7 linked regions of the Nothobranchius furzeri genome follow. The main gene of each other region encodes a partner of the protein of the gene in region 3 in a complex. Links are inferred from orthologs where the notes say so. Each region holds a gene or a part of one and is shown on either strand. Other genes may lie near its edges.

What was found.
Region 1: tada3l (region 3) and yeats2 share a complex: the UniProt entries of both Homo sapiens proteins name them as parts of the ADA2A-containing complex. The link is inferred for Nothobranchius furzeri from reciprocal best matches to the Homo sapiens genes TADA3 and YEATS2.
Region 2: tada3l (region 3) and dr1 share a complex: the UniProt entries of both Homo sapiens proteins name them as parts of the ADA2A-containing complex. The link is inferred for Nothobranchius furzeri from reciprocal best matches to the Homo sapiens genes TADA3 and DR1.
Region 4: tada3l (region 3) and mbip share a complex: the UniProt entries of both Homo sapiens proteins name them as parts of the ADA2A-containing complex. The link is inferred for Nothobranchius furzeri from reciprocal best matches to the Homo sapiens genes TADA3 and MBIP.
Region 5: tada3l (region 3) and tada2b share a complex: the UniProt entries of both Homo sapiens proteins name them as parts of the TFTC-HAT complex. The link is inferred for Nothobranchius furzeri from reciprocal best matches to the Homo sapiens genes TADA3 and TADA2B.
Region 6: tada3l (region 3) and kat2a share a complex: the UniProt entries of both Homo sapiens proteins name them as parts of the STAGA transcription coactivator-HAT complex. The link is inferred for Nothobranchius furzeri from reciprocal best matches to the Homo sapiens genes TADA3 and KAT2A.
Region 7: tada3l (region 3) and taf12 share a complex: the UniProt entries of both Homo sapiens proteins name them as parts of the STAGA transcription coactivator-HAT complex. The link is inferred for Nothobranchius furzeri from reciprocal best matches to the Homo sapiens genes TADA3 and TAF12.

What each region holds. Positions count from the first base shown.
Region 1 is NC_091751.1:55,945,755-55,949,444, forward strand, and holds part of yeats2 (YEATS domain-containing protein 2), read left to right. Parts: intron 1-708; coding exon 709-1,081; intron 1,082-1,170; coding exon 1,171-1,305; intron 1,306-1,624; coding exon 1,625-1,744; intron 1,745-2,763; coding exon 2,764-2,905; intron 2,906-2,983; coding exon 2,984-3,060; intron 3,061-3,138; coding exon 3,139-3,218; intron 3,219-3,660; coding exon 3,661-3,690. UniProt on the Homo sapiens protein: Chromatin reader component of the ATAC complex, a complex with histone acetyltransferase activity on histones H3 and H4. YEATS2 specifically recognizes and binds histone H3 crotonylated at 'Lys-27' (H3K27cr).
Region 2 is NC_091756.1:58,164,517-58,168,933, reverse strand, and holds the start of dr1 (protein Dr1), read left to right. Parts: upstream 1-1,462; 5' UTR 1,463-2,519; coding exon 2,520-2,739; intron 2,740-2,840; coding exon 2,841-3,004; intron 3,005-4,417. UniProt on the Homo sapiens protein: The association of the DR1/DRAP1 heterodimer with TBP results in a functional repression of both activated and basal transcription of class II genes.
Region 3 is NC_091743.1:74,426,810-74,431,156, forward strand, and holds the start of tada3l (transcriptional adapter 3), read right to left. Parts: upstream 2,957-4,347; 5' UTR 2,755-2,956; exon of another isoform or gene 2,711-2,754; intron 2,416-2,710; 5' UTR 2,385-2,415; coding exon 2,175-2,384; intron 2,088-2,174; coding exon 1,840-2,087; intron 1,708-1,839; coding exon 1,602-1,707; intron 1,481-1,601; coding exon 1,345-1,480; intron 1,218-1,344; coding exon 1,114-1,217; intron 303-1,113; coding exon 196-302; intron 1-195. Other genes in the region: actin-related protein 2/3 complex subunit 4, read left to right, coding at 3,377-3,379, 3,940-4,058, 4,292-4,347. UniProt on the Homo sapiens protein: Functions as a component of the PCAF complex. The PCAF complex is capable of efficiently acetylating histones in a nucleosomal context. The PCAF complex could be considered as the human version of the yeast SAGA complex.
Region 4 is NC_091758.1:21,136,652-21,140,867, reverse strand, and holds the start of mbip (MAP3K12-binding inhibitory protein 1), read left to right. Parts: upstream 1-1,391; 5' UTR 1,392-1,430; coding exon 1,431-1,550; intron 1,551-2,337; coding exon 2,338-2,454; intron 2,455-2,620; coding exon 2,621-2,800; intron 2,801-3,362; coding exon 3,363-3,459; intron 3,460-3,815; coding exon 3,816-3,881; intron 3,882-4,061; coding exon 4,062-4,216. UniProt on the Homo sapiens protein: Inhibits the MAP3K12 activity to induce the activation of the JNK/SAPK pathway. Component of the ATAC complex, a complex with histone acetyltransferase activity on histones H3 and H4.
Region 5 is NC_091754.1:63,115,907-63,120,215, forward strand, and holds the start of tada2b (transcriptional adapter 2-beta), read right to left. Parts: upstream 2,889-4,309; 5' UTR 2,754-2,888; coding exon 2,484-2,753; intron 1-2,483. Other genes in the region: cfap184 (cilia- and flagella-associated protein 184), read left to right, coding at 3,013-3,633, 3,873-4,220. UniProt on the Homo sapiens protein: Coactivates PAX5-dependent transcription together with either SMARCA4 or GCN5L2.
Region 6 is NC_091745.1:16,620,342-16,624,496, forward strand, and holds the start of kat2a (histone acetyltransferase KAT2A), read right to left. Parts: upstream 2,878-4,155; 5' UTR 2,803-2,877; coding exon 2,578-2,802; intron 2,353-2,577; coding exon 2,229-2,352; intron 1,469-2,228; coding exon 1,323-1,468; intron 1,217-1,322; coding exon 1,127-1,216; intron 931-1,126; coding exon 749-930; intron 653-748; coding exon 461-652; intron 1-460. UniProt on the Homo sapiens protein: Protein lysine acyltransferase that can act as a acetyltransferase, glutaryltransferase, succinyltransferase or malonyltransferase, depending on the context.
Region 7 is NC_091745.1:72,393,541-72,397,907, forward strand, and holds taf12 (transcription initiation factor TFIID subunit 12), read right to left. Parts: upstream 2,809-4,367; 5' UTR 2,633-2,808; intron 1,992-2,632; 5' UTR 1,839-1,991; coding exon 1,761-1,838; intron 1,645-1,760; coding exon 1,567-1,644; intron 1,340-1,566; coding exon 1,225-1,339; intron 1,051-1,224; coding exon 962-1,050; intron 836-961; coding exon 800-835; 3' UTR 394-799; downstream 1-393. Other genes in the region: si:ch211-79k12.1 (roundabout homolog 1), read left to right, coding at 3,692-3,743, 4,189-4,310. UniProt on the Homo sapiens protein: The TFIID basal transcription factor complex plays a major role in the initiation of RNA polymerase II (Pol II)-dependent transcription.

The sequences.
Region 1 (3,690 bases), on a different chromosome or scaffold from region 3:
GCCCCGCCTCTGTCAGTGTGCCCCAGAGCAGCTGTGGCTCATGTAGCTCATGCCCACCAGCGTGTGAATGTGTGAATGACTGATTGTGTTGCGAAGCACCTTGGAGGTTGTAGAAGTGTGTGTGTGTGTGTTGTCAAATTACTGGTCCTAGTTATTTTTCATTCTTATCTCAAGTGTGGCTTAATCTAATCAATTCACACTTTTGGACCAGAATATTGCTTATAAGTTACAACAAAGCCAGGTCACCATAAACCTTTCATTTCAATGCCTCCTTTATTGTCCTCAAACGAGTGTAGGTCGTGTTGATGTTCACTCTAGTTGTTGCTCTTTGCTCTGCCTCCAAAGCCATCATTCTCTTACTTTAATTTCCAGGCTCCGCCATGATGCCAACAAAAAAGTAAACTATTTCATCTTGCACTATTTATTGACGGCCGGTGAAACTGAAATGGCTAACAGCTAGCCTTTATATGAGCTACCAGCACAGTAGACGTTTATTGTCGTAAAGCAGGTAGTACCCCTACCGGAACCACAAAATATTTAAGAGCAGTTTCTGGTCAGCAGAGGGCTGCAGAGTGCTGTCAAAATTTTATTTATTTAAAACATAAACTATGTCAGGATTTTTTTTTTTCTGCTTTATACATGCATGAGAGGTGCAGTATTTCTGCACATTTTTTTGGTTGACAGATGTGTTTCTGTATCTTTATCCAGGCTGCTGATGGCGGGAAGTCTGCCTCCCAGCAACAGCAACTGCTGGTGTCAGCCAGCCAGGCGGCAGTAATCAGCGCAGCTAAGAACGCCGGCACAGCCAGCGGCGGCAGTCTGTCCAAGGCAGCTGTGGCCTCTTTGGTCAAAGGAGCTGGAAGCTCCGCCTCCCCAAGTAAGAGTGCAGGAAGTTCAGCCGTTGCCGCAGTGATGGTGGCAAAAGGTGTCACAAATTTGCCCGTCATGAGCACGTCCAAAGGAGCTGGAGCTGGGACTGTGGTGGGGGTGTCCAAAAGCAGCAACACTCCATTAGTTTCTGCGGCGTCGTTAGTCAGCGGAGTGGCAGCTGGAGCAGGAAAAACAAGTGCTGCACTGTCAGGTGTGGAGGAACACACCACAACCTACAATCATATGTTTATGCACAACACATGGGTGTGCAAATGATCTCACCTTGTGGTTTTTGGCCAGGTATGCTGAAGATCCAGTCTGCTGGTTCCAGCTCCCAGCAGACCGTTTTAACCATCCCTGCCACCCAGCTGAAGCAGCTAGGGGTTGGAACTGGGTCTGCTGGACTGCAATCCATATTCATGCCTGTCAGTAAAGGTAAGCCCACTCCATGAACACAGAATAATCTCGCTAGTGTTGAAGTTAAACAGAATCCCAAAACTGATCCTGGATTACTTCTTTAGTTGTTCTGAACTTGATGTAATTTTAAAATAAATCTGAGATGCGCTCCATCATCTGGAAATATCTTATTGTTACCAATATCCTCTCATCTCATTTTTTGTCTTACTGTTTACCTAGCAGGACATTGACCCTTCTGTGTGTGTGTGTGTGTGTGTGTGTGTGTGTGCGTGCGTGCGTGCGTGTGTGCGTGCGTGCGTCCGTCCGTCCGTCTGTCTGTCTGTCTGTCTGTCTAAAGGCCCAGTCTCCAATACTCCTCCCTCCTTCTCCTCTTCATCCACTCCTCCTGGAGCAGCTGGAGCCTCCTCAGGTCTTTCCAGCCAGGTCTCCTCCTCCCTTATCCCGCCTTTAGCACAAGGTGAGAGGGGTCCATTGTCACTCCACCCTCTCCTCTCTTTCTTCCTAACTCCATTTTTATGTTTGAGCTGTCAGAATCAAACATTGGCCACTGAAGACGAAGCAAATAGTTTGATAGTTGTGTTTAAAGCTGATGAACATAATCCAAACCATTAGAGTCTTATTAATGGGACATTTAGCTACTTTTTCAATCATTTTCTTGAGCCACTATGTGCTAAAATGACCCTTTACATGGTTAATGAAATGACACCCAGCCCCCATCGCCACCTGTGACCAGAGTATTCCACTTGCAACTTCAGACTGGCGGGCAGCTCTGTTGGGACTTAGACAAAAGGAGTTGACATACCTGGTGCTGCAGTCTGGTTCCAGCACATTTCCTGGATGTTTTAGATTATGAACACATCTGATTTGTGTAATTTAGTGATGAATAATAATAATAATAATAATAATGCATTGAACTTATATAGCGCTTTTCTAGACCCCCAAAGACGCTTTCACACACTCACATTCACACACTGCTAGTGATGATAAGCTACTTGTAGCCACAGCCGCCCTGGGGAGGTTTGACAGAGGCGAGGCTGCCATTTGGCGCCGTCGGCCCCTCTGACCACCACTAACACAGGCAAGTTGGGTGAAGTGTCTTGCCCAAGGACACAACAGCAGGATACCCCTGGTGGGAGCTGGAATCGAACCCATGACCCTCCGATCATGAGGCAACGCGCTCTACCACCTGAGCTACTGCTGCCCCAAATGAATGAATGACTCCTGTAGATACTAAGGAAGGCTGGGGGGAAAGCGAGGAGATAAGTTTTGCTTTCAGTTCTATAAATGGACTCTAGGGGGTGCCAAAAGCAAGCCAAGACTGCCTAGTTCCCTTTAAAATATAAATTACATGTGTTGATTTGTGATGAAATAGTTCAGAGTAATAATCTTTTATACAAGTCTAAATATGTTTGTGATTCCTAATAACATTTATCTCCCCCACATATACACATCTGCTGTCGCTCTCCGCTGCCACAGTGAAAACAGAACCAGGTGCCGTCGCAGCTGGTCCGTCGCCCCTGGCGACGGCTGCTGCTCCAGCCCCTGTCCATGTTGCTTCTGCAGCCACCACCGTCAAACAGGAACAAGGCACAGATAACTCAGCACACTGCCTCATTAAGTAAGAGCAACGCCGCTGTCTCTTTAAACACAAATGCAGATGATGTTCTGATGTTAATCCAAAGCTCTTTCCTCTCAGCACTGAGCACATCGAAACCATGATGCAGCTGCTGACGGCTGTGGTGAAGAAGTTTCCTCTAATTGTGCCAGAAAAAAGTAAATACAATTAGATTTCATATTTATAAACCGACTGAAGACACTCTTTAAATGTAACGCTGCTTTATTTTTACATAGCTGAAGACTCCCATCCCTTTTGTGCCTCCTCAGTAGAACAGTATTATTCTTGGAACATTGGCAAACGCAGAGCGTCAGAGGTAACCTTTTGATTTTGTTTTGATGAAATCTTATGTCCACCTCTCACCGTTATCTTCAGTTTTACTCGTCTTCATGCTGTACTAGCCTCGTGTTTCATCAACATAGTAAATGATTCATTGCTGTTCTTGTGGAGAAGAGAAGTATGACCGTGTTTTTACTCACTTTGATGGAGTACACGACGTGATGATTCGCCGCGGCTGCAGTTTTGCATTTTAATCCGTCTTCCAGCTGCATCTCTTCTCTCTCTAGTTGGATGTGTGTTTCTGCCACATCATCTCTTTGACTAATACTGTATTCTGAGCCGTATGTGGGATACCGTGAATATTAATGCTTATTCATGCATGTTGCTAAATAGTTTAAGCAGCGAGGGTCTACAATGCTTAAACTTTGTGATCGGACTCTTCCGAGTTAAAATGAGCTGATCTTTGGCCGTCTCTGTAGCTTCAGAGAGCGGTGGCGGTGAAGCGTCTG
Region 2 (4,417 bases), on a different chromosome or scaffold from region 3:
AAGCAGTCCACTCATTACCGTTACAGGTCCAAGCTTCTGCCTATTAAGGCTTTTAACGAGGTATAGTTAGCTAACTGCTTCAGACAATCAACTATAAACTTCTTGGACTCTGCCAGACAAAATAAACTTGACCTCTGAGTGGTTAATCCCATTAATCTACATCAACAGCCATTAAAACTGCTAAGACCAATCAGACCTTTCCTTTAACATACAGGAAATGATTCCTGGCTTATAGGGTGTTTGAGGGGTTATGGTGCTCCGTGTTTCCAATCGCATTTAGAGGCTAACTTTAGGGAAGAACTTGGATGAAGCAAAGGCAGCTTGTGTTTCCTTTAGTTTTATATGCATCCGGCTGTACAGTGCAGCAGAAACATGGCAAAGGTGACTTCTAAGAAATAAAACACAAAGACAGGCTTAACGCTGTGGGACACCTGAGATGGATGAGAGGATAAGACATGAGAGGATCAGGATTTACTGTAGAAATCCTGGGCCTGTTTTGGAAAGGCTATATGGAACATAGACAGCTATGGTTGTATGTTATTTTCTCTTGTCATGTTGTTAAAAAATCTAAAAGTTGGGGCTGCAGCAGTCATGAAAAAAGTCCATCAAACCCTGTAGAGTCAAAAGTATCGTTGCTTTAATCTTCACTAAATGAACACGTCAAAGTTTGTTCTTTAAGATCAGCTTTTTAAAAGTGCCTTCATTTTAAAATTACAATATATATCAAGGTTGATTTTGGTGACTCAGGGGTTAAGAGGATGAGGTTAAGGTTACGAGTTCAAACCGAGGTTCCCCCAATCATGTCACGTATTGCGTCCTTGGACAAGACACTTCACCCACCTTACCTGCTGGTGGGGGTCAGAGGGGCCAGTGACACCAGTGCTATGCAGCCTCGCCTCTGTCAGTGTGCTCCAGGGCAGCCGTACATTCTAGCTCATCACCATCATTGTTTGAATGTGCGTCTGAATGGATGAAGGATTCAGTGTAGTGTAAAGTGGTTTGGAGTCCTCTGATTGTAAGGATCTACACAAGTGCAGGTCATTTATTAGTTATCGTGACTAGTTTCTGGTATTAACGTTACAGTGCTGGCGTGATTCATTTAAAGCTTGAGTTTTTGAACATATTTAAATGTTATAATGAGAAATAAAAGGCTCATATTATCTAGTGTAAATCTTCGGCATCTTCAGAAAAGCTGACTTTGAAGTTTGATGTAATGTCACAAAACCTCCACGCGAGGGCGACCGTTGTCCAGCTGACGCTGAAAGCAACCATCAGGCTGTTATAAAGATTTTTATTGTTCGGCTTTTGTCATCACTAAACGAACACCTTAAAATTCTTACATTTCTGCTTCAGGCTGGATTAACATTAGTCCCTTAAAAAAGAGATGCACATTGGCTATTTCAACATATCTTAAAATCAGATAAAAGCATGGTAAGAAATTTGAGGGTTCCCTCTTATGAAATCACATGTACTTATTTTTATATTTGTCCAATTTTTAAATACCAAAAGACGTGGTAGTTGTTTTTTTTACATTACAGCTATAATTGTTCTCAAACAAAAAAAGAATACGTTTATTTGCATTTGTCAGTCGAGAATGTTTATTTATGAAAGGTAGCAAACAATGTGACTTTCAATATTTTAACGATTTGTACAATGTTTTTTGATTATTTTTTTAAATCTGTGACGGCCTTCTTTTTGGTAACGCTTTATGGAGTGTTTAGAAAAGCTTACTCCAGCTGTGAATGTACAACTGAGCACAGTTCAAAAATAACAGCACGCGTTGTCTTCAAAGATTCCGCTAGATGGCAGTATTTCCTGATGGGTTTCATTTCAGACTCCGACTACCAAGCCATGTTTCCGGTTTATTCGTCACGCGCATCCGTGACACATTTAGGCTAATGTTGCTAAGAATAAATGCTATCCTAAAATCCCTTACTGTAAGTTTTCCGTTTGTGTAATTTGTTTGGTTCATTTGGCAATGTAAGATAAAAATAATCGGTGGTGTTAAAGCACTTCATAAAGCTAGTCTTTGTGTGAGCAGCGGTACATACATCAGAGAGCTCTTTATTGTTAGCCTAATTGTAGCCTCAGCTTTCACTTCTGTTCTGCGGGGCTAGAAAACAGCAGCCGCTTTACTAGCCTGGTTGCTAATTAGACATACATCTTATTAATATACTAGGGTTTTGTGAAGTGTTTTTGTTCAGCGTGTGTGGAAGATATCCGTGACACTTGCTTTCATTTCTAATTCCTTAAAAGTCACATCGTCAGGCGGCTCATTGTTTGCTATAACACACAAGTAGCCGTTAGCCAACCGGCTAACTTTTGAGGAAGCGTCTCATCTCTTCATGACATTAACTTTGTGTTGACGTCTGCTCAACCCGATCATTTTATTATTTGTACTCCGAAGACTCAAGAAGATAGACATTTGTTAATTCTGGTAACTTCCACACACTAAAGAAGCGGAGCTCCGTTTTTTTATTTTTATTTTAATACTAGTTGGAAGTTATTTTTGTGCCACGATGGCTTCCTCATCTGGGAACGACGACGACCTCACCATCCCCAGAGCAGCCATCAACAAAATGATTAAGGAAACTCTCCCTAACGTTCGAGTGGCCAACGACGCCAGGGAGCTCGTCGTTAACTGTTGCACGGAGTTCATCCACCTCATTTCCTCGGAAGCCAACGAAATATGCAACAAATCCGACAAAAAGACCATATCTCCTGAGCATGTCATCAACGGTGAGTCAGTCCCGACCCAGACCAGGAAGAGTATCATCCTCCCTGGTTCTAACCGCTGAAACTAACTGATTGCACTTTCACCTCCTGTTTTCGCACCGCAGCCCTCGAGAGCCTCGGTTTCGCGTCTTACATCACGGAGGTCAAAGACGTCCTGCAGGAGTGTAAAACTGTAGCTCTGAAGAGGAGGAAGGCCAGTTCTCGACTGGAGAATTTGGGTATCCCGGAAGAGGAGCTCCTCAGACAACAACAGGAACTGTTTGCAAAGGTGAAACGTCCTCATGCGTGAAGCTTGTGCTTTTTGAATGAGCATTCTTGTTTTCCCTTTTGCCAATCAGTAATCGTTGGCCTGGGATGAGCTCTGAGTGTTTATTTAGTACTTTAAACTTATCTGTATAGCTGAGAATAAACAAAACAACAAAGTTATATTCATTTTTATTAATAACACATCGTAACATTTAAGAAACGTCCTGGTGAACATCGCAAATGAACAACAAAGTGCAAAGTTACAAAAATACTGTTATTATTAGAGTGAAGCAGATGATTTAGTTCATTGCTGATGTTATTCACGTTTAGCCTTTTTAAAGATTAAAAGTCATTGTGCTGCCTTCTAGGGTTGTCACGATACTAAAATTTCAAACTCGATTCGATACTGGGAAAAAACTCGGTACTCGATTTCGATACTATTTAAAAACACCAATTTATTGAACAAGTTTATTCAAAAAATAACATTCCTCAATTTATATTGCAAAAGTTAAATGTTAAGAATTAAGTGTGTAAAGTGCTTAAACCTTTCAAGTATCAGCATTTTTTTAAACGTGCATACAAAAACTGGTGAAAGTTAACACTTTAAATCATGAATTGTCCCACTATATATACACTATTTGCAGAGTGATGTTTTGCTGCTTAAACTCTGTTTAAGGTGCATTTTTGTCATAAGATGTAATGCCATATGTTTTGTTCTGTACTTTTGAACAACTCTGTTGGTCAATAAAGGGAGAAAACTAATTTCTCCTCAGTAGGACAAAGGTACATCTACCGGTAATCTTAATAAAAACAGACCAGCGCACGGCAGTGACGTCATTAAAAGCGCCGGTTAGATTAGCCGCGGCTAGTCTGTTTACGCCTAGAAATCCCAGACCCGCTCCAAACGAACAGGGGAATCACGTTAATGATTCCTAACAAAACCTTTCGACATTGAGATGTTTTGGTGCAGATAATGTCTTATTTCGAGGCTGCACCATGGGTGCCCGTCCGCACCCGTTATACGGATATACACTGACGGCGATTCGCCGATGGATCTACGGTAAATACCCCGGGGAATCCAAGTAGCACCAAAGTTGTCAGCATGAGTAAACAAACGTACTGCATGCTAGAAATTAAGTCCGGGTTGCAATAAACGGGAGTTTCCTTTAAGCACATAAGCGTGAATATACAACTACTTGTCGGACTTGGTATGCTAATTAAGTTGGGCTGTGAAGCGCCTCCCAAATTCGCTGTTTTTGTTTATTTTTTTTGGCAGACAAAACTTGGATCGGAGACAACTCGCGTGGGAAATTGCAATGTAGCAATGCGGCGTCTTCTTCTTCTGTTTGTCTGGGAGGCGGAGGCTGCTTTACGGCATCTGGCTGTCGTGCGTGTCGGTGTACTTGAAGAAGGCTGTGTATAATAGTCCATAATA
Region 3 (4,347 bases):
GCTAACGTTATGAACGAACCACCGGTTCATATCGGTGAATCTCTCCATCCCTACAGCAGACCTCTGAGATGGAGTGGGCATGTTAGAAATAGGCAGTTCACAGGCTTTGTAGACAAACATCCGAACCTTAAACTGAACCTGGTAGATAACGTTCTACAAAGAGCTGATCTTCTGCACGGATACGATGCAACGCACCTGAATGCTTTGCCTTGGCTTCGAGGAGAAGTGCCAGCACCGTCATTGGCATCCTTTCCTGATATGTCTGGTATTGGAGAATCCTCCATAGGGGATATAATGTTCTCCTGGAAAAGAACAAAACCAAACTGATAAACATACACCTCTATGACTACCTCTTGTTACGCTATAAGCCCAAAAGGAGCTGGACTTCAAATATTCTAGAAAGGTTTTGCAGCAACATTTTTCAGGCTCCAGATTTAGCGATGAATACTTTTCTTGTTTCTGATGCAAAATCTACACAAACATAACTTAAACTTTAGAAACCAACCAGTGCTGTGTCAACACCCAACACTTTTTCTCTGCATGGATCAATGCAAGAGAACAAATCAGTGTACAGGTTTCTGACAGTTATTCCGATGCCTCTGGCACACCAAAAGCAGCACGCACAGAGATGTTTTATGTGTCTGTTGGCTGCACAAGAGTATGCCGCAGTGCAACGTTTCCAAACCATACAAATAAACAGCTTTCAGATCTCAGCTTTGCAGCTTTTGGTGCAGAAGAGGCTTTAGATGCACTAAAAAGACAAACGGTTGAAAAGAAGGTAAAAGTGCGAGCAACGCTGCAAAGCAAAGCTGAATAAAGTACTTCAGATTGTGATCTTATGACCGTTACAGAAACCACAAGTGCTGGCTGATGAATCAAGTTGTTTCACTAGAGAACACACATAAATACATATGTTGGTTACACTAAAAGTAGTTGTCAGGAATCAGAAGGTATCTCTGCCTGCTGTAAAGTATGAAATCTTAAAACGGATGAATATGGGTAAGTGGAAAACAATACCACACAATGAAGTAGAAACAAACAAAAGTCGATGTTACCTAAAAATGGTTGCACCTCAATCCTAATTCAGTGAGATTTGAATGGAGTTAGTCTGACCTCTACAAGAGCCTGCAGCAGCCGCTGTGTGAGGGGGAAGAAGGGACACCCATCTTCTGGTGATTCATGCTGGGATTCTGACTTTTTCAGCAGGGAGTCGACATCTGTAAAAAATAAAATAAAAGTAAAGACGAGTATTAAAACAAACATAGTAGCAACAGCTGCATGTCACAGTTAAGCACAGTTAAGACAAAAGCACACATGCTCACGATCGTTTCAGGCCTCCTTCACCTTTTGCATCTAGTTCTGACAGCGGCCCTCCCATGATGCTTTTCTTCTTGTCGTTGGCCCGTGCTCCTTCCCTCTGCTCCTCCAGCAGGTCCTCTTGGGCCCATCGCTGGGAATAATGCTTCCCCAGAGCTGGAATCTACAGTTAGCACAAACGGAGCTGAGTCGCTGGCGTACTTTTCCCACAATGCGTCTTCATCAACCGCAAACTAAGATGTTAATTATTACTTAAATGAAGAAGACTGTGATTTACGTCTTACTTTGAAGTACTCAGTCTCATCATCTGGAGGCTTAAGAAGCTCCTCCAGCAGTCGTACCTCCTCATTTGTGATATCAGCACAATATGGCTCGACTGACGCCCAGAACCTAAAAAAAAAACACATTAAAGCAAAAACAAACTGATGATTGTTGTGGATATACAGCACATCCCTGAACAGTCTAGCTAATAATGCACCAGAAGATATTCTTCTATACTTAAAAGGTTCTGATGCTGCAAACCTGTTGGGTGCATCGTTCTTCGGAGTGCGAGGGATGTCTTGTGGATCATCTGGAAAATCATACTCTTGAACTTTGGGCTGTAGGATTTTGGATTTGGGTCTGCCAGGACCTGGGCCTGGTGCATGTCCTCCCTTTCCATCCAGTTTTTGCTTCTTAGGTTTATGGCGGGATGGGGCCGCAGGATCTGGGTCTTTGCCCAGCTTTAGAAATCGTTTGTCTCCCTTCTTGTCTTGCCAATCTGTGAGGATCTGAAGAAGTAGGTAAGAATGAAAGTTTTAATATTTTTATATATTTTTTATTTGGAGTCCATTCTTTCATTAACCTGAAACACCCACCTGTCTCTGCTCCTCCAGGGCTCGGAGGCGCCGGCTGGCTGAGGACAGCAGGGTCTCCAGCTCTAGCTGCAGGGTGTCCAGCTCTTCGATGCCGATGCCATCGTCGTCTGACCGTCCCAACACTGCGGTGTAACGGGGGCACAACTTAACGTGCTCCACGGGCTTGAAGTCGTAGTACTTCAGCGGGGGGCAGTCCTTCAGTTCGCTCATGATGCCGTGGTGCTGTCAATGTCCTATTAAACTGGTACAAACACGAGCATCGCGTTAGTTAGAAGTATGTGTGTCTCTCTCTCTCTCACACACACACACACACACACACACACACACACACACACACACACACACACACACACAGGTGTTCGGCCGAGCTCGGTGGTGCGTCTCTAATCAAAAACCCAAAGCACGTACGTGAAAAAAGGATGCATCATTCCGCCCCGGGCCCAAATGGGGCTGATATCTCAGAATTTAACAACAGTGGCTTTCATATTCACTGTCTGCATACAGATATTACACCACGGAGAAATTTAAGACCTTACATTTTCATGTTTGGAGCCCAGAAACATTGAGTAGTAGCATTTACCGTCAGTAAAAAGTGTCCATGATGGAACAAACCATTGTAGCAAGAGGGGTGTCGATAAAGATATTAATAAAACAGCACCTTCCCTGAACCAAAAGAAATATTAATCAAGCACTGTGTTTATGTTATGTAATATGTACTATTAGATTTAAAGATATACAGCACACAAAACAAAAATTGCCAAATTTTGATCACAACAACCCCCATGTAAACCAAAATGTCACGGTGGGATTAAACCATGTTCTATCAGTGCGCAGCTGCACAAAACCTTTTAAGTAGATTTTCAATTCTAAATCGACGTAGTGGAACATTGTAGTATTTTTATTTTACGAATTAAATCAACACAACCATCATTTTAAAAATCAAGGTAACTTTTTTTAAAAGTCATAAAAGCAAAGACTCTCACCCCCCACTTGGTTAGACAAATGGATGCACCGCTGTAAGTGCTCGTTTTAGAAACCACTTCCCTGCTGGGCGGAGTTATACTTTCAAACAATGTATGCCCGCCTAACCCAACCAGAAAGGTGAATAGAACAAACGCACTCTTGCTTTACATTACCATGAAGAATTTACGGAAGAGTCGTACCAGGCGTGGCTGAGGAACTTCCTTCTTCACAGCTCAAAAATGGTAAGTCTCTTGCACTTTGCGAGTTTCTGAAAATATAGAATAATTTTGCGATTTCTTTCAACTCACTGCGACTTGACCTTAGCTAGCTAGCTATGTGTTCGAGTCACACAGATGGCGTTTGTTTGTGGCTGGCTTCAGTAACGGGCATCTTTCATACGGAATGGAGACTGAAGTGATTTAGCTGAGCTGTGTTCTGGGGCCTTTTTTCGTTCGTTAGTGTTACAGGTGGCTCTTTGAAAACACACGTTTTTAACGTTGTAAAATTACTAGCACAATTATGAGGTCTGATCAGCGATCTACTCTCACCTGGAGGCACCTCACTCACCGAGATTCAGCTTAATTCCTGCTTTTAATGCAGTTTTCTGCACAGACGACCGATAACTACTTTATTAAAGAAACCCTAAAACGGACAAAGTGAAAAATAATAAGGTTATATATGTATTAATTCATGTATGGATGCTCAGTTTTGGCTCAGGTGAGGTCGGTCTCACTGAGCTGGATCAACAGAACATCATCATGCAGGATTCCTGTTGCTAACCCTGATCTCTGTTCCTGCTCAGACAGCGACTCTGCGCCCGTATTTGAACGCTGTGAGGTCCACCCTGCAGGCAGCCCTCTGTCTGGAGAACTTCTCCTCTCAGGTGGTGGAGCGCCACAACAAACCGGAGGTAGAAGTCAGGTATGTTTATTGGCACAGAACCACCTGCAGTCTCGGTGGTGTCAAAATCCACTTTTTTCTTCCTGATGTTTCTCCTGCCCCTGAGCTCTCGGTGGATTATCTGCAGCTGACACACAAGTGTGGACTTGTGCTGACTTGCTGCAGCCCATTCGAAGGTGTCCTCCCAATGCAGCTAGAAAGCCGAGACTAGCTGGAAGTCAACATCTAAGAACCGCTCTGTTGTTGCTTTGCAGGAGCAGTAAGGAGCTGCTGCTTCAGCCTGTGGTGATCAGCCGGAATGAGAAGGAGA
Region 4 (4,216 bases), on a different chromosome or scaffold from region 3:
TACAAAGTATTGGTATTTAATTTAATATATGATGATGTAAGTATTACCTCTTCTGTTCTTTATGATTTTTCAACTAACAAGATAGTGAAAGATCAAGTCAGACCCTTAGCTAATGAGCATCTGCAATTTGGCTTCAAAAGTTAAATTCAACCAAAATGCTCTAAGTATTTTCCAAGAAGTACCTTAAATCACATATACAGCTCATTAAAAGGGTAAAAAAAATTACAGCTCTTGGGTCTGCAGCCAGGCAAATTAAATGAGCAGTGTATTTAATTTCAGAGCTCCTCGCTGTGTGGGAACATTTAGCAACTGCTCAGCATGTCAAACCATGTCAAGTGTTACAGTTCTCTTCCTGTTTCACGGGAAAAAATATCACCCTACAAATGAATTAAGCTAAAAAGGCTTATCTTCAGAGCCCTTCCTAAAATGATTAACCTTTCTAAAGAGCATTATTGAGTTCTGAGTGCATGGTTGTGCCGTCTCTTTGCCTGTAATTGTTCTTTTTCTGTTGTTTCCTTCATCAGTCTCTCTCTTCATTATATGAAAAGAAGTGAAAAATGTCTGAATAGAGAAGGGAGATTTTCCCACAGTCACTCAACTCAGAGAAATACACCATTGTGGGCAGGTTCCCATCCCAATGCCCTGCTGCTTGGTCCTCTGCAGTAAGAAGCACAGTGTGCTTATAATAAGGAGCCATTCTTTGTGCTGTTTGAGAAGCAGGTGAATGAAAACGTAGGCAAATGTGGCTTGGACATGTCAGTCAGTATTGTAAAAATGTAGACAAGTCCATTTAAACCAAGATTTAAAAAAGAGTTTAAGTCATAAAGCACCTCAAAAATCAGCACAATAAAAACATTAGTAGTTTTTTAAGAATAAAACTTATTTTATATGCTTTATACAAATAAGACATGACCTTATGAGCATCCTCTGAGAAAAGGCAAACAAATATACTGAACCTAAATAATATGTCCATTTCAAAAGTTAAAACATTTTCTGTTTATTTTTCTCTGCTGTTTTTTAAACTATTGTTTACTTTTTTGTTATACTGAAACATATTTCACAATTTTAAGCATCTGTACTAGTTTATTAAATAGTTTAAATTAGTAAAAGTTGACTTTTGCTTTCTGAATGAGCCTTCTAGAAATTAAATCTCCACAAACAAAAACAAAAGCATCTTTCTACCTATGATGAGCCCTCTTTAGGATCAAACAAAAAAAACTATACAGGTTTTTTAATGTTTCAGAATCTATTTAAAGATCAAAATTCTGAGCAAAACACAGTAAATCATTTATTTTTGTGCTTTGAATTTACTTTCATGCGCTACTGTTAATGCGCATGCGTCATTTTAGCCTGCAGTTCCACCAACCACGTGATTAAAATCACCGTCTCGCAACCAATGAGCACGCAGTATTCCATGAGTTTGAGTAGCAATGGCGGAGACAACGAAGCTAAGTGAGAGCAAAGCTCCTCCCAGCGAACCAGCTAAAATGTCCAGTTACAAACACTGCATGGACGCAATACTGGGGCTGCTTTCAGACTTTGGGAAAGAGGTTGGTGTGAAATGATTCAGCTGCTTCGCTCCGAATAGTCATTCCAGTCTGAGTAGTTTCCTAGCGGTGTGCTAATGTTTTTAGCAACTAGCCTCGTCGGTTCATGTTCATTCACTGTCCGTTAATCAAGTTTTTGCCGTAGGAAAGCGTCAGCTCGATGGTTTATATCTAAATTAACAGATTCAGTTTTAATATTTGTATTTCTGTGCAATAAAAACATGTCCAGACTTTTGTGTCACACGTCAGTTTAGGTTCAAATCACGCTTATTTTCATTTACCCTCTTTTTCCATATAGTAAACGTTCACGGTTTTTGGCATTTTTACGCAGTATTATGTAATTTTTGGTCCTGCAGGTAAACGTTTATTGATGCCACTGTCCACAACGCATTTCTACCTTAGAAAATATATTTAACCTTGCTCTATTTCCCCCCGTGTTTACGTCTAAATTATTAAAATTGCTGGATGCTTTAGCTCTTTTCATACCCAGGGCTTCTAAAGGGACATTAAATATATGTATTCAGTCTTATATACACTGTTTTTTTTTGCTAAATAATGGTTTAGTTTTTCTAGCACAGCAGAAAGGTTCAGTGTAAAACAATAAGATTATTTAATTTGACCGTTTATAGAAGCAAATTATGAAAAATTGCTTCTTTTTTAATTACCAAATTGTTGGTTAAATTACTTAAATTATTTAGCATTTTCTGCCTCTACTATTTTGAACTATATATTTTTTATTTAGCTGTGGTGATGTGTACTTGATGAAACTCTTGTTTATTTTCTCTCAAAGCTGAAATTAGGGGATGCTGCTTTGAGAATAGAGGTCAACCCTGGAGCTGTAGTACTTTCGTCATCTTCAGAAGCAGGTGTTTATGGCTGTGTACAGCAGCACATTGCTAAGTTGCAGGTAAGACATTCACCCGTTGGTTAATTTATGTTACATATGACTGCAATATCTAATAAGTGCCACATTTACAGTATAATTGATGGTCACTAGTGTTGTAATTAAAGAAATAATAACACTAATTTATAATGTGTTTGTAGCAGTCAGTGTTCTTTCTGTTTGGCTGTAGGCTGTTTCAGAAAGCCTGAGGTCACTGGTGGAAGCTGATGTTACATCTGTGAAGGAAGACACGGCGGATAACATTGTCACGTCACTATCATCCGAGCACCGGCGTCACAGCTCAGAGGCTGCAGACTGCGGGTCTTCGGGCGATGACGTCATGGTTCAGATCCGAGCCGGGAAGTCAGAGGTTGGTCATTGTCAACAGATCTGTCAGCTGTTCTGGCACTGATATTTTAGAGCCCTTCACACTCTGTCAAGCAAATGAATAATCATAAGTAATTGGTTCCAAGGATGTGCACATGATGTGCAGCAAATGCTTGATGGAGTTCTGATACTGGGTTTGACAGAGAATAAAGGGTTCTGTAGTGCTGTGGTGGGGTAGAATGGACCACATTGCTGGAGGGGTTTGAGAGAGGGCCAGGTCCTTGATGGATTATGAAGTGGATGCTCATTACTCTGAGATTGCATGTGGATGAAGGACAAGAGGCCCCATTCTGTTGTGCATTTATTTTGGTAGCCAGGCAAACCGTATTCTTATTCCATCACATGATGACGATAATCTATTCAACTGTTTGGGCTATCTGGAATAATTTCTCTCACTGTGTTTGATATTTTTTGAAACCATAAATCGCTGAACTTTGTTTACTCTAAATCAGTAAAAATAAGTCGACAAAACATTGAATTCTTCACAGCTATCAGTGGCTCATCAACCCGTTGTGTCTTATTATCTGTCTTCTCTGTAACTCCAGATCGAGCGAAGAATATCTGCATTTATGGAATGCAAGCAGATGGAGATCAATGAAAACAATGTGCGCGAGTTTTGCAACGTGATCGACTGCAATCAGGGTGAGAACGGAGGAGAGATTGGGGGGCAGGGTGGAGAGGGAGGCTGCACACAGATTGCCAATGTTTGGGAGAGAGCTGATTTCCACAGGCGAGAGGTCAGGCTGAACTGCTCCAAGAGTGGGCCTGAAGTAGCTAACACACTCGGCCTTGAAACGCAACCTGCTCTGGCCAGAAAAACACCAGACACACAGGCTGTTTGAAATTCAAAGCTTGTGTGTGACGCCAGTAATGGAAATCAGACGAAGTTGCAGTTCAAGTGTGGTGTATTCATTTCTAATGTTTTTTTTTATGACTATTTTCTTCTTACATTTAGAAAGTCTAATTACACTTTTGTTTTGGATTTGATTCCTTTGTAGAAAACAGCTGTGCCAGGACGGACGCCGTGTTCACTCCTTACCCAGGCTTTAAAAGCCACATTAAAGGTAAGAAAAGGGGACTCTTTGTTGCTCTTACGTTCAAAAATACACTCATCATCACTAGCTAAATTATTTTTGTTAACAATTTGGTAACAAGCATCATGGATGCTGTGTGATTTCTGTAATGTGCATCATTTAAAATTTGGTTGGTTCATCCGAGTCTGTGATTATTCTTTGGTTGATCAGTTTCACGAGTGGTAAACACTTACGGGCCCCAGACTCGTGGCGGGGGGCGCCAGGGAGAGGCTGCAGAGCATCATAGGGGGGCAGCTGCAAGAGACTGTGGAAATGCAGCCATAGAGGAGCGACTTCAGAACATGGAGACTCACCTGAAACTGCCG
Region 5 (4,309 bases), on a different chromosome or scaffold from region 3:
CAGTTTAGGCTATTGGTGACCCAAACACACAGTTTAGGGTGTTGGTGACCCAAACACACAGTTTATGGTGTTGGTGACCCAAACACACAGTTTAGGGTGTTGGTGACCCAAACACACAGTTTATGGTGCTGGTGACCCAAACACACAGTTTAGGGTGCTGGTGACCCAAACACAGTTTAGTTTATGGTGCTGGTGACCCAAAAACACAGTTCAGGGTGTTGGTGACCCAAAAACACAGTTCAGGGTGTTGGTGACCCAAACACACAGTTTAGGGTGTTGGTGACCCAAAAACACAGTTTAGGGTGCTGGTGACCCAAACACACAGTTTATGGTGCTGGTGACCTAAACACACAGTTTATGGTGCTGGTGACCCAAACACACACTTTAGATTGTTGGTGACCCAAAAACACAGTTTAGGGTGCTGGTAAGATGAAACTAAAACATGCTGGATACCGGCCCTCCAGAACAAAGGATTGAGAACCACTGCTTTATACATTATTAGATTATTTACAGCGGAAATTAAACAGAGGAAAATCCAATCATCCCTCTGTGCATTTACATGCAGCATCAGTAAAACACAATTGCCTTATGTTGGCTGAAGTTGTTTTTTATGCATGTAAACATATCTCCAACATGTATTTACACCAGGTCCAAAGCCTTTCTGTAAAATCTTTCTGCAGGCTAACTTACGCAGTTTTCAGACCCCCTTCTGAGCGGGAACAAGCTTTATAAATGAGTCCCCTGGTCTTTTATTTTTTTAATCACAACTGTCTATTTTTTGCACATTTTGAATATATTTTTAACCATTTTCTAAATTCTTTTTTGTATTTTTACATTTTTTTGTTTTTGTGAAGCGCCCCGTGATTTTTATCTTGAGAGGCGCTATAGAAAGGAAGAAGAAGAAAATATCATTTCTGTAGCGCCTCTCATGATAAAAATCACGAGGCACTTCACAAAAACAAATATAAAAAATGTAAAAATATAAAAAAGCATTTCGAAAATGTTTAAAAATATATTTAACATGAGCAAGAATAAGCAATTGCGATTTAAAAGAAAAAAGTTAAGAAAGAGGGAGAGTGAACAGGAAAGAGGGAAATCAGTGGATCCTGAGGAAGGTGGAATAGGTGGGGAGAGCAGAATAAAGAGAGAGAGGTGAAGAAGGTCATACAAAAGCCAGCTTGAACTGGTGAGTCTTCAGCTGCTTTTTAAAGGAGACCACTGAGTCCACTGATCTCAGGCTCAGGGGGAGAGAGGTCCAGAGTCTGGGGGCCACAGCAGCAAATGATCTGTCACCTTTGACCTTTAGCCTGGTGCTGCACAACCAGTAGGCTTTGATCACTGGACCTCAGGGACCTGCTGGGGGTGTAGGGACTAAGAAGATCACCAATGTAAGATGGTGCTTGTCCATGTAAGGCCCTATAGACCAGAACCAGGACCTTGAAATGAACCCTGAAGTTGACTGGCAGCCAGTGAAGCTGGAGGAGAAGCGGGGTGATGTGGGTGTGTTTGGAGGACTTGGTCAGAAGCCAAGCACAGGCGTTCTGAACCACCTGTAGACGGTTCAGGGAGGTTCTGCTCAGACACGTGAAAAGAGAGTTACAGTAGTCTAAGCGTGAGGAGATGAAGGTGTGGAGAACTGTCTCAAGTTCAGAGCGGGACAGAATGGGACTCAGCTTAGCAATGTTCCTGAGATGGAAGAAGGATGAGCGAACAAGAGAACTGACATGAGAATCCAGGGTGAGAGCTGGGTCAAAGGTCACGCCAAGATTCCTGACAGAAGGTTTGGTGTGGGAAGCAAGCTGACCAAGAGAGTCTCTGACTTTGGGAACCAGCTTGTCCTAGCAGGAATACCCCTAACAGGAAACCCTAGCTAGGAACGACCAACAGTCCTTGCTGTGCTGACCGAAGGTTCCTTGAGGGAACATAAGGATGGATCAGATCTGATAGATAACGTGAAGACAACTCATTTAAACATTTAAAAGGATATTTTTTTCTTCTTCTAAAAACTCCTGTTTTTATGGTAAAGAAACTAATTATAGTATAAAAATTTATGAGGTGGTTCTATAGAATTTAATTAATATTTAAACAGAAACATCCTTCCTTAACAGCACAAAACTCTGCTTTTAGATTAGAACACTTTTAGTGAGTTAGGATTTCTACTGAATAGTTTTCTTTTCCACATCCTCATATCTGCTGAGCTTGTCTGACACCTGAAAACATCTAAATCTTGTAATAAGTCAGCTTTTCATTTATATTTACAGTTAGTTTATGCTAGCTCTGGTCCCAACTCTATGAGAAGTCAGAAACAACAGATTATTGATCTTGCTCGTATTTTACTGTGAGTGTACCAAATCATACAGACAGTTGTTCTCCTGAAAGTTACAGACGTCGTGGCCCTTTTTTTGGTTCTTGTTAAACTTTTTTTCTTTCTATAGACATTAAAACTAAACTTTAGTGAGTATTTGTGAATAAAAGTGATGTACCCAGTTTCCAAATCCATACTGCTCGATGGCATCGAGGAGCGACTGCTCTTCCCTGCTGGTCCATCCTCCCTCTGCTTCGGGACCCCAGAGTGAGAAAAGACCGCCGTCGACCTGCTGGTAGCCATGCCATCTCCGGTGATTACCGATTTCTGCACCTGCCGAAAAGCACTCGGGACACAGCTCGATATCGGGGCAGTCGGTGCAGCGAAGCCGTAGGTTTGTAACATCCGCGAGGCAGTTAACGCAGTACTTCTTCCCCAGGTCGGCCATCTTGCCTGGCTCTTGCTTCTTGTTGTAGAAGGCAGGACCTCGCGCCTGCGCACTACGTGCCTCACTACTCGCGCTGCACACCCACCTTCCTAATTAATATTCATGAGCGTCACAGAGCTCCTGTGATTGGTTCCTGGTCCCAGTTTCCAGGACAACGGAAACTAAACGAATAGTTTCATTGACAACAGAACTGCGCGAGCCGTTTAACTCCAAACAAATGCCATTTAATACATTCTAACTTTATTTTTTATTATTAAAAATGAGTAGAGAGTTACAGAATGAAGAAAAGAATAATGCTCCTAATAATGTTAATGAAGATGAAGAAGAGCACGTTTCAGCTGGAATATTAGCACACGAGGCACTCTCTGTCAGTGGGAAAGTCATAAATAGGCTCTTTGTTGAAGAAGCAGCATCCTGTGAGCCAGAGGAGGGCAGTGGTCCCACCACAAGTAAAGAGCTCGATGTGGACATGAACAAAACAAATGAACACCTGCAGAGTGACCATGATGGACCCTCGGGGATCAACTTTCAGACCCCTGACAAGGAGCCCATCTGTCCTGCACTGGAGGAGGACGAGGAGGAGGTGCCTGCCGCACTTGCAGACAAAGAAGAGCACAAAGGGTTGGTGCAGCTCCTGGAGAACCAGGAGAGAGAGGAAGCCCACCAGCTAAACCAACAGCTGCAAATGAAGTTGGCAGGATACTTCCAAAGGAGAGCAAACAAGGATGTTCATCAGGAGTGGTCAGCATCAGGGCAGCATGAGTATGAGAAGCACCTCCAAGCCCTGACTGACCTGAAGCTTCAGCTCAGATCTGCTTCCGAGTCAGCCCAGAGGCAGGCAGAGGAGCTGGAGATGCTGGCACAGGAGAAGATGGACCAGGTCTGAAGACGGCTCATACAGACTGCTGCGGTCTCTGACTTTAGTGTAAAAAAGCTTGTTAGTTTGCTGTTTTGGGCGCCACACAATTACATAATGGTCATTTTGTCACTCAGGACCTAAAACCTGAACTCTAGGAAATGTAGGATTTTTTATTGACCAGAGAGAGACATTACAGATTTGTTAGATGAGCTGTATTAAGTTAACCTGACTCTGACAATATTTTAAATGTGTGCCTTCAGGTGGAAAAGGACTGGCAGGCACTGGTGGCTCTGAAGCAGGATGCAGCTGAGGCGGCGCTTAGTCGTCGCCTGGGGAAGGAAGCAGCTCGGGCCAAAGTCAAGTCGGTCCTGGTTGCAGCGCAGATTCGGCAGGACGAGCTGACCAAGGTGCGCCTCAAGCACTTCAAGTTGAAGCTGAAGGTCCACAGGCTGGAGGCAGAGCTCCGTGAGAGAAATAAAGACAGCAGGGATCCCCTACAGGTCCGGTTTGAGCAGCTGTGGGCTGAAAGGCTGAAGCAGAAACAACAGGCTGAGAAAGAAAATGAAGAATCACTAAAACTGCAGAAGAAGATCAGCTGCTGCTTGGAGGTAATGTGATGAACCCATTAGTGCAGCGAAACCCAAACGTGTGAGTCAAAGTTTACATCTTGCTGATTTCTCCTATGGTTCTGTCTTTG
Region 6 (4,155 bases), on a different chromosome or scaffold from region 3:
GATGTTTCTGAGGTGTTCGCTAGGTACTTTTAAGATTTAAAAAGTCAAGAAGGAAGGGGGTCTGAAAAGCTGCTAGAAATAGCGTCAAAGTCGCTAAGTTGGCAACACTGTGGAGGAGCGCTTCATTTGCAACTCAGGGCAGCGCAAGCGGGAGGAGCAAATAATCGGCTTGCTTTGTTTTTTATAATTGTTCAAAACTCAGATTGTAATCGTGATTAAAATTCGATTAATTGAGCAGCCCTAGTGAATAGTTACTGAGTTAAGGTTTTACCTCCGTAGGTATAATAGGTGTTTAACAACCTGTGTAACTGCACCAGAGTGAAGGAAATGTCATTACACCATATTTATTTTTCTGTCTAATGGAGGGACAACCCCAGCTCGCCCCTCCACCACCCTGCACCTTCACACGCAGTCGTCAGGTTGTCCACATTAGCTTTCCCTACAGAGACCCTGTGCTTACTTGGGAAAGTGTGTGAGGATGAGTGTGCGTTTCTCTGGCAGCAGTTTGTCTTTCTCCACCCGGAACTTCTCCAGGAGCTGGCGCCGAGTAACCGTGAAAATGGATTTGAGTAAGTTTCGACCAAACACCTGAGTGGTTTCATTGCGTGGCAGGCTGTCGTTACTCTGTGGGACGTGGCAGTAGCACAACCACCTGATGGTCACACACACACACACAATAGATCCACACTGCTGTTACGTCAGACCAATAAACACAAACACTACATGTGCGCTCTCCGTTAACACACACCTGGTATAGTCCACTTTGTAAGCGGTTGCCTCATCTTTCTGGGTACGCTGACGATACTGCGTCGGCGTCTCTAACTTCCAGTAATTCAGGCATAACAGAAACATCTTCGACAGCTCGAACATGGTCTGCCTCTCCTTTGGTGCCAGGTGGCTGAACTTGTACTGGACAAAATTCAAAACGCCCTGCAGAAGAGGAACACGAGGTGGATGTTGAATAAAACTCTCAGGTCATCTTTATCAAATGTAAAATCTGCAGCTGATTAACACTCTTTGGGGAACCAATGACACCAATTTAAAATCTATAACTGGTGAAAGCCAGTGGTCAGTGTGCATTCTTTATAGGATTGCTCGGGCCTGGGGCGTTTTCTAAAGAGTTCACCTGCTCAATGTTGGGCTTTTCAAAGGGCGGGCTTCCGAGGGACCCCTCTACAACCGGCTGGCTCATCTGTAGGATGCATTTCCTCAGGAGCTTAAAAAGGAGGAAAGAAGTAAAAGACCGAACTACACCAACATCCCGAGGGTCGCCTTCTCCCTGGTTGGTCCATTAGGACCTTTCATTGGGGTGAGGCACCCACCTTGAAGAGGTAGAAGTACACTTGTTTGGTATCGGTGTCCTCCTCCTTGTGCACGGACATGAAAAGGTTCTCCACATCCACGACCATTCCCAACAGCCGGTTGATCTCATCTTCAGACACGTTCTCCAGATGGGACACGTGATCAGCTGGAAAGTTCGCATCAAAGAATAAAAACAGAGATGAGAACACTATCAGTTTCATTTTTAATCAGATAACTTCGTCCACAATTTTTATAAAGTGTTTTTTCTTAATCAGCGTAGATATTCTCTAAACATCATGACTCATTTGAACATATGAAATTAAAAAATCATTTTGAGTTAATTGGGGGTGAAAGTTATTGTTGCAAAAAGCAAACCGCATCCATGTCTTCAAACGTATGCAAAGGTTTTTTAATCTGTTTGAGAATTACTGGGTCTTAAAGACCAATATTCTTTAAGAAGTCGAGGTAATGTTCACATAAACCATAAATGTATTTTTTTTTTCATGAACAAATGAGCATTTATTACAATGCAAGCAAAACATTCTCAGAGTTACCATGAGGATCAATTTGGTGTGCCACCCCAAAATGTTCTCTGTCCCCATGGCCACCCCATGACAATTTCTGAAGGTGCCACTGATCATTAGTACAATAGACTGAGACAGCTTTGTGAGGGGCTGGTGACCAAACTGAAGACATGTTAACACTCTCCTCAGATGCTGGTTAGTTTAAGAGTGGATGATAATCAGTTTAGATGTGGATGCTGGTTAATTTATATGTAGAAACTGGTTAGTTTAGGTTTGGATGCTAGTTAGTTTGTATTTAGAAACTGGTTAGTTTAGGTGTGGATGCTGGTTAGTTTAGGTTTGGCCATTGGTTAGTTTGCATGTAGAAACGGGTTAGTTTATGTGCGGAGGGTTAGTTAGTACCCAAAGCATGTCCACAGCTGCGGCAAGACTCGCTCAGACTGGCTGTTTGCTGCTGCAGATCCATACGAGGAGCTGAGGGTGGATTTGGGTTTTTCCATCCATTACACTTGCATGTGTCACTAGCCTGAGAACAGGACAAACAAACCATACAGGCGCGTTAATAACTGAAAATATTTCCCGCAAAGTAATTATGTATTATGCAGAACTGGACATTAACAGATACGTTGTCTGCAAAGAGTAAACCCCACGTTTATTTATTGTATTGTTGATGAAGTTTTAAATAACGTAAAGGTAATCAAACCAGAAGCGTGCTTTGTTGTTGTGAACTTCGGCTAGCTGAGTTAGCTACCTTGCATGCGGAGAATACGCCAAGTTTCTCGAGCTTTTTCGCCCGTGGGAAAGCTCGGACCTGGGCTTTCTTCTGGCTGGCGCGCTGTTGCTGGCTCAGTCCTGGTCTGGCCGGGTCGCTGTTCCCCGGTCCGGAACCCGTCGCAGCAGCACCAGACCCCGCAGTCCCGGTAGACTGGGTTTGGAGAAGCCGGGGTTGTAAGGCCTGCGCCGCCGGGTCCGACATATCCACGCTGCTGCAACAAACACTTCCTTCCTCTCCGTTCCCGTTTACCTCATATGCTGCGTTCAAGTGCCGTCTGAAAAAGTGGATTTAGGTCCACTAGCTTCACAGTAACGTTAGCACCGGATGTGATATTTCCAGAAGTATTATGTAAAATATTTGTCACACACACACACACACACACACACACACACATATATATATAAATATGTGTGTGTATATTTATATATATACACACACACACGTATCTATATACACATATATATATGTATGTGTATATATATAATTATATATATATGTATATATACATATATGTATACATATACTTATATATATATAATATATATATATAAGTATATGTATACATATATGTATATATACATATATATATAATTATATATATGTATATATACATATACTTATATATATATATATATATACATATATGTATACATATACTTTTATATATATATATATATATGTATGAATGTATATATAATATCTATGCCGACTCAGAGTGCTGCGCGATTACGTCATAAACAAAGTTCTATTGTCAGGGTCTGGCACGTTCGAAGTCATTCACTTTGGGATTTCCAAGAGACAGCCCATTTTTCTGACCGTCCACAGTGTTGTTATATTGTTTTATTGAATTATTTCAATAACCATCTGTTGAAAATGAGCAGTGAGGAATACAAACAGCACTCCAAACGATTCCTGTTCAGGGAGGTAATCCTCCCCAGAGTTGTAACAAGGGTGAAACTAACCCACCCAAATACACCAAGTTACGGCTCAAAAATAAGCAGAATTTCGAAACTCAGTTGCTTGAGGGCAAAGTTTCTGACTATTTGAACAGCGCCTTTCAACATCAAAACTAGCCAACTGAAAAAGGAGCTGCAGGAGTTAAAAGATAAGGAGAAAACCCTTCAATCTCAGTTCCGTGAGTCAAATAAGAAACTCAGCGAAATGGTGGAGAAACTATTTTTGTATTTAGTAATCAGTTTGAAACTCCAAATGATTCATGCACCAAAAGACTGATTGGGAATCGTGCCTATTATAGGATATATATTACTAGAATGTATCAAACATAATTTTGAGCATGAAAAAAAGCTTTAAAATTGGTGTTACATTTGTAATTACTTTTCCAAACATTTGCAAACAACTTTATATTAAAATACACAGCTCATTTTAAATTTAGAAAATATTTTAACAGGGTTAATGAGTTTATTCAACCATGACTTATCCTTGATTGGATCTAATACCCTATTTGGGTAAACCGTAATAATTATGTTGATTATAGGTTTTAACTTATTCAAAAACTGTAGTTTTCTTTTTAAAGAAATCAGACAAGACTTCTCA
Region 7 (4,367 bases), on a different chromosome or scaffold from region 3:
ATAAAATGCTTTGCTGTAACAATAACTGCACATCACTCTACAAGTGACTGACTTGTTTTCATGCACTGCTCCTGCAGCCATTGTGATCCCTCTAATAAACCCTTCATCCACCAAAAGAAAACAACTTAACAGCTGTTGCTTTATTTTATTCCACAGCCTAAATCATCCTCGTGTTTAGTGAATCCATCACATTTGTTGATATATCGGCTCAGCCTCTGAACCACTTCATCGTTCATCTAGATGCAGTTTTAAATGTGCTGGGATTGCCTGACACCGAGACATTTTTACTCGTGAAACCCTCAACTACACTCACATAAAACATCCATTTTCTTTGCTTTTCAAATGAATGACACTCAAGTCAAAGCATGGAGAATGCAAACTCCAAAGCATAACTTGTATCGTGGTATTATTACTTTATTTCTGACAATGTAAAATTCAATTAAATACCATATCTTTCTATTTTTGATTTAGAGAAAGAAAAGGGAAAAACAAAGTCAAGCAGGGTAAACACAGTCAGTATGGTTATCATCTCCATGATCAAGAGTGTCAAAAATCTAACCACATTAGACGATGACGTTACAAACAATATTTTTAACAGAGTACAATGAGGTTCAGCCGGTCGTAGCGCAGCGGTAACACGTCAGAGTAAAACACACAAATACTATCGTGCTCTGGCAAAGCACGCAAATGTCTCAAGAGACGTGACAAAAACGATTTATTTCAAAAGATATACACCCCTCGTCAAAACCACGTACATTGTCTATTACCAAAAAAACATTCAGAACAACAGAGTCTGATGCTACTTTTTGGTCGTCTTGCGGATCAGCGCCATTCTCTGAAACAGAAAATAAGAGATGATCTCAGTCAGGTTTTTTTTACGTGTGCAGACTCACGTACGATATTGAAAGGAATATTTAGACACTATTGATTCTAACAGAAACCAACTTTTTTTCATATTTACCTGTTTATGAGCCTCTGTGGTGCATGCTTTCTTGAACGGTCTGATTTCATCTGACCCGTAACCAGGTATCCACATGTTCCACTGGCGCTCTGAAAGCATGAAATGATTACATGAAGACAATATGTCACCTCAGACCTCACGATATTTCATTAGAAAGAATATTTGAAAGTAATGCTATTATGTTCTAGGTTTGATTTCCTTGTGCAAAAGTCCCAAAATTGTACTCATTTTAGAATTTTACAATTAAGTTACCCGAAACCTACCGAGGTGTAGCTGAACATCTTTAACTTCTAATGTGTTGGATTTGCGATGGCGTGCTAGTTGGCAGGCAGCTGTCACCACACTTTCTATGAAGTCATCCGCAATTTGAAGCAGCATCTGAGAAGAGAAACATTTCTGATGCCTTCAAAAACATTTATAGAACTCAAGCGACACTATTCAACCTCGAAAAGGATAATTATTATCAATTGCCCCATTATTTCTTGAAATCAGACTTCTAAACTATTTTTAAATGAGAAAAAATGCTTTATTTATGTTTAAGTCGTGTATTTTGAAGCAGATTTGGGTATGAAAGTGGAAATTTAAGTTGAACACCACTAACAAACCTCCTCAACATCCTCATCCAGCTGCTCATTTGGGTCGATTTCTCTCACCAGGTCCTGAAGCTTCTTCTTACTGAGCACCTGGAGAAAATTTTCACAGAAATGTGTGTTAGAATAGAATTCTTGTTTTTTTATTTAGAGATAAACACTTTATTCAAAATGACATTAGACAAAGACAGCAAAGAGGAGGAACAAACCTGAGAGCCCTCTGGGCTGCTTCTACCTGCAGGACCCGAGGGCAGACCCTTCACTATTATCGGGGTGTTGTTAGCCATGCTGGTAAACACAGGCAAGCGTACTGGGATCCACTGGTTTCTGAGGTGCCCAAAATGTGGAAGTCCTTCAGAGAAAGCAACAGTCCTGGGTGACCGTCCAACTTGGGCACAGGTAGAATAGATCACCTTCGTACGAGGAACACGGCCTTTAATCTAAGGTGAAGAATCAGAAAATAAACAGCAGTCCCAAGTGAAGTTAGCTTGATCACAAGTTTTACCAGAGTGACAGATTTTAAAAGGAAATTTCCATGACATAATTCCTCTCAATAAATCAAATTAATAACAGTTTTTTATTTCCAGCACAGATATTTGTTTTTAATTGCTGCTATTCGTGATGAATGTTGATCCACTGACTTGCTACCCATTAATGATTGTTACAATGACCATTGCACAGCTGTTGAAAAATATGTGCTTGAAAGTATGTAAGGTAACCTAATACTGACATAAAATAATATGAAGTGGAATAAAAGTGTTTGTGAGCTCGCTGTAGCTTCAATTCGCCATAGACTGATTAGATTAGCAGTCAAACAACGAGTTAGCCCTGGACAAATTACAGACAGAAACCAAAAAAGCAGAACATTTCGTAACATTCACTAAAACTCTCCGGTTGCAAGCAAGCGACTCAGCATCTGTGACAAAAAAAAAGCAGCGATTTAAAAAGTAGAAAATCCAGATACTAAAAACAAACGCTATCCATTTTTGACGTTAGCCACAGACGCTAACGTTAGCAGCTAATCTGACGGAAGAACGTTATGTACCCTGCACTCAAAAATTATCTGAATTCGAATACTCACCACGTTAAATAAACACTATCTGTCCATATTTATTTGATACAAAAACGACTAAGTGTTTTAGTTACAAAGATAATCCAAAATTGTGTCTCCATACAATAAAAACAAACGAGCGAGTGCTTTTCAGCATTTCCGGTTAGCTTGGTTATACTTCCTGTGTCAAGGCGTTGTTCCTATGTCGCCTCCTGCTGGATATTCAAAGTATTACACAAACAAGCGGGTTAAAACTTCACGGATTTACTGAATTTTACAGATAAATGAACAATTTTCCAATAAAATAGTGATAATCCAATCAAACAATATAAATAAACTGTACTTAATTGAAATATATTACAACAGAATTTCTATTTTAAACCCCAAACATTCCCTAATTTAATCTAAAACACTTCTGTGGAATAATTTGCTAAATGAAACATCTCTTAAACCACAAGTTAATGAAGAATATGAGCTTTTTATCAACCCAAATTTATTTTGTATTGAATTTATTTGTTTTGTAAATATCGTGTGCACACATAATCAGTTAATGACCAGATTTCGTGCCAAAACATAATAAAACAAATTAAGGGATCAAAGCCGATGAAGCGCATAGTGCTGGCTTGGCTTTTGTATTACATGTCACCCTACAAATAAAAAGTAATAGTAAAACAAAAGCAAAACTACAACAAGTTCTTCAGGAAACCCCTGAACTTTCAAACCTACCTTGAGCGCTTTCCCCCGTGGATACAAATGACGCGCTGAGTTTACATAATACCATTGGCGGAGGAGCGAAGCGTCCCTTTGTCTGGCGCAGTTGAGCAAATAACCGAAATGTAATCCCTAGAGCAACGCTGTTGCAAAACCATACCTATTCCGCGTCATTTATTTTCATGCATAAAATGAAAATAATGGCTATGATCTTTCAGAGTCTCTTAATAATCTGATATCACACTTCCTGGACAAAAGCAGAACAGAAAGCCACACCTACGCTCTGATCTACTAATACAAAGGAAACTTTCATTTCAGTTTAGAGCTGCGCAGCACTTCAGGACTTCAGTTTTAGTGGTGAAAAGATTTTCCACAGACATGAAAACCTTTCTGGTGTTTTCACTGGTGGTCCTGATTCATGGCACCTTCGGTAAATATGTTTCTAATTCTCATCAACTGTTTTTAAAGCTGTGTGTTTTTTCTTATGTAAAAGGAAGCTTGGTTTAGGATTTTACTCTTTTAGTTTTTCTCATTTTACTTTTTATCTTTTTGTTATAGATTTATTCTACAGAGTCGTGTTTACTTGCCTGTTTGCGTCTCATCTGTTCTAAACACTGGTGCTTACGTCACGCAGAGATAAACAGCAAATGTTCAGAGTTCAGAAAATTAAACAAATTAAGTATATAGAATATAACCTCATGTTTACTGGGTTTTAGTAGAAAAATAAAAACATCAACAAACTTAAACTCTTGGCGCCAATAGATGGAACCTGTTTGTGGTCATGTGATCAAAGTATCTAGTATTTCTATGGTTTAAACTTATTAATCTACATGCTTTCACTGATCAATAACTTCATTATTTCTGTTTTTATGCAGCAACTTTGACCATTAAAGGGCCAACTGAGCCTGTTCTGGAGGAAGAGCCGGTCGTGCTTGAGTGTCTCTCCTCAGAGTCTGACTTCAATGTCTCCCAAGTCCACTTTGAGTACTTCCACCCAGTGAGTTCTTGGACATGTGTCAAAGGCTTATAATTCCCCTCTTGGGATCGCAAGAAC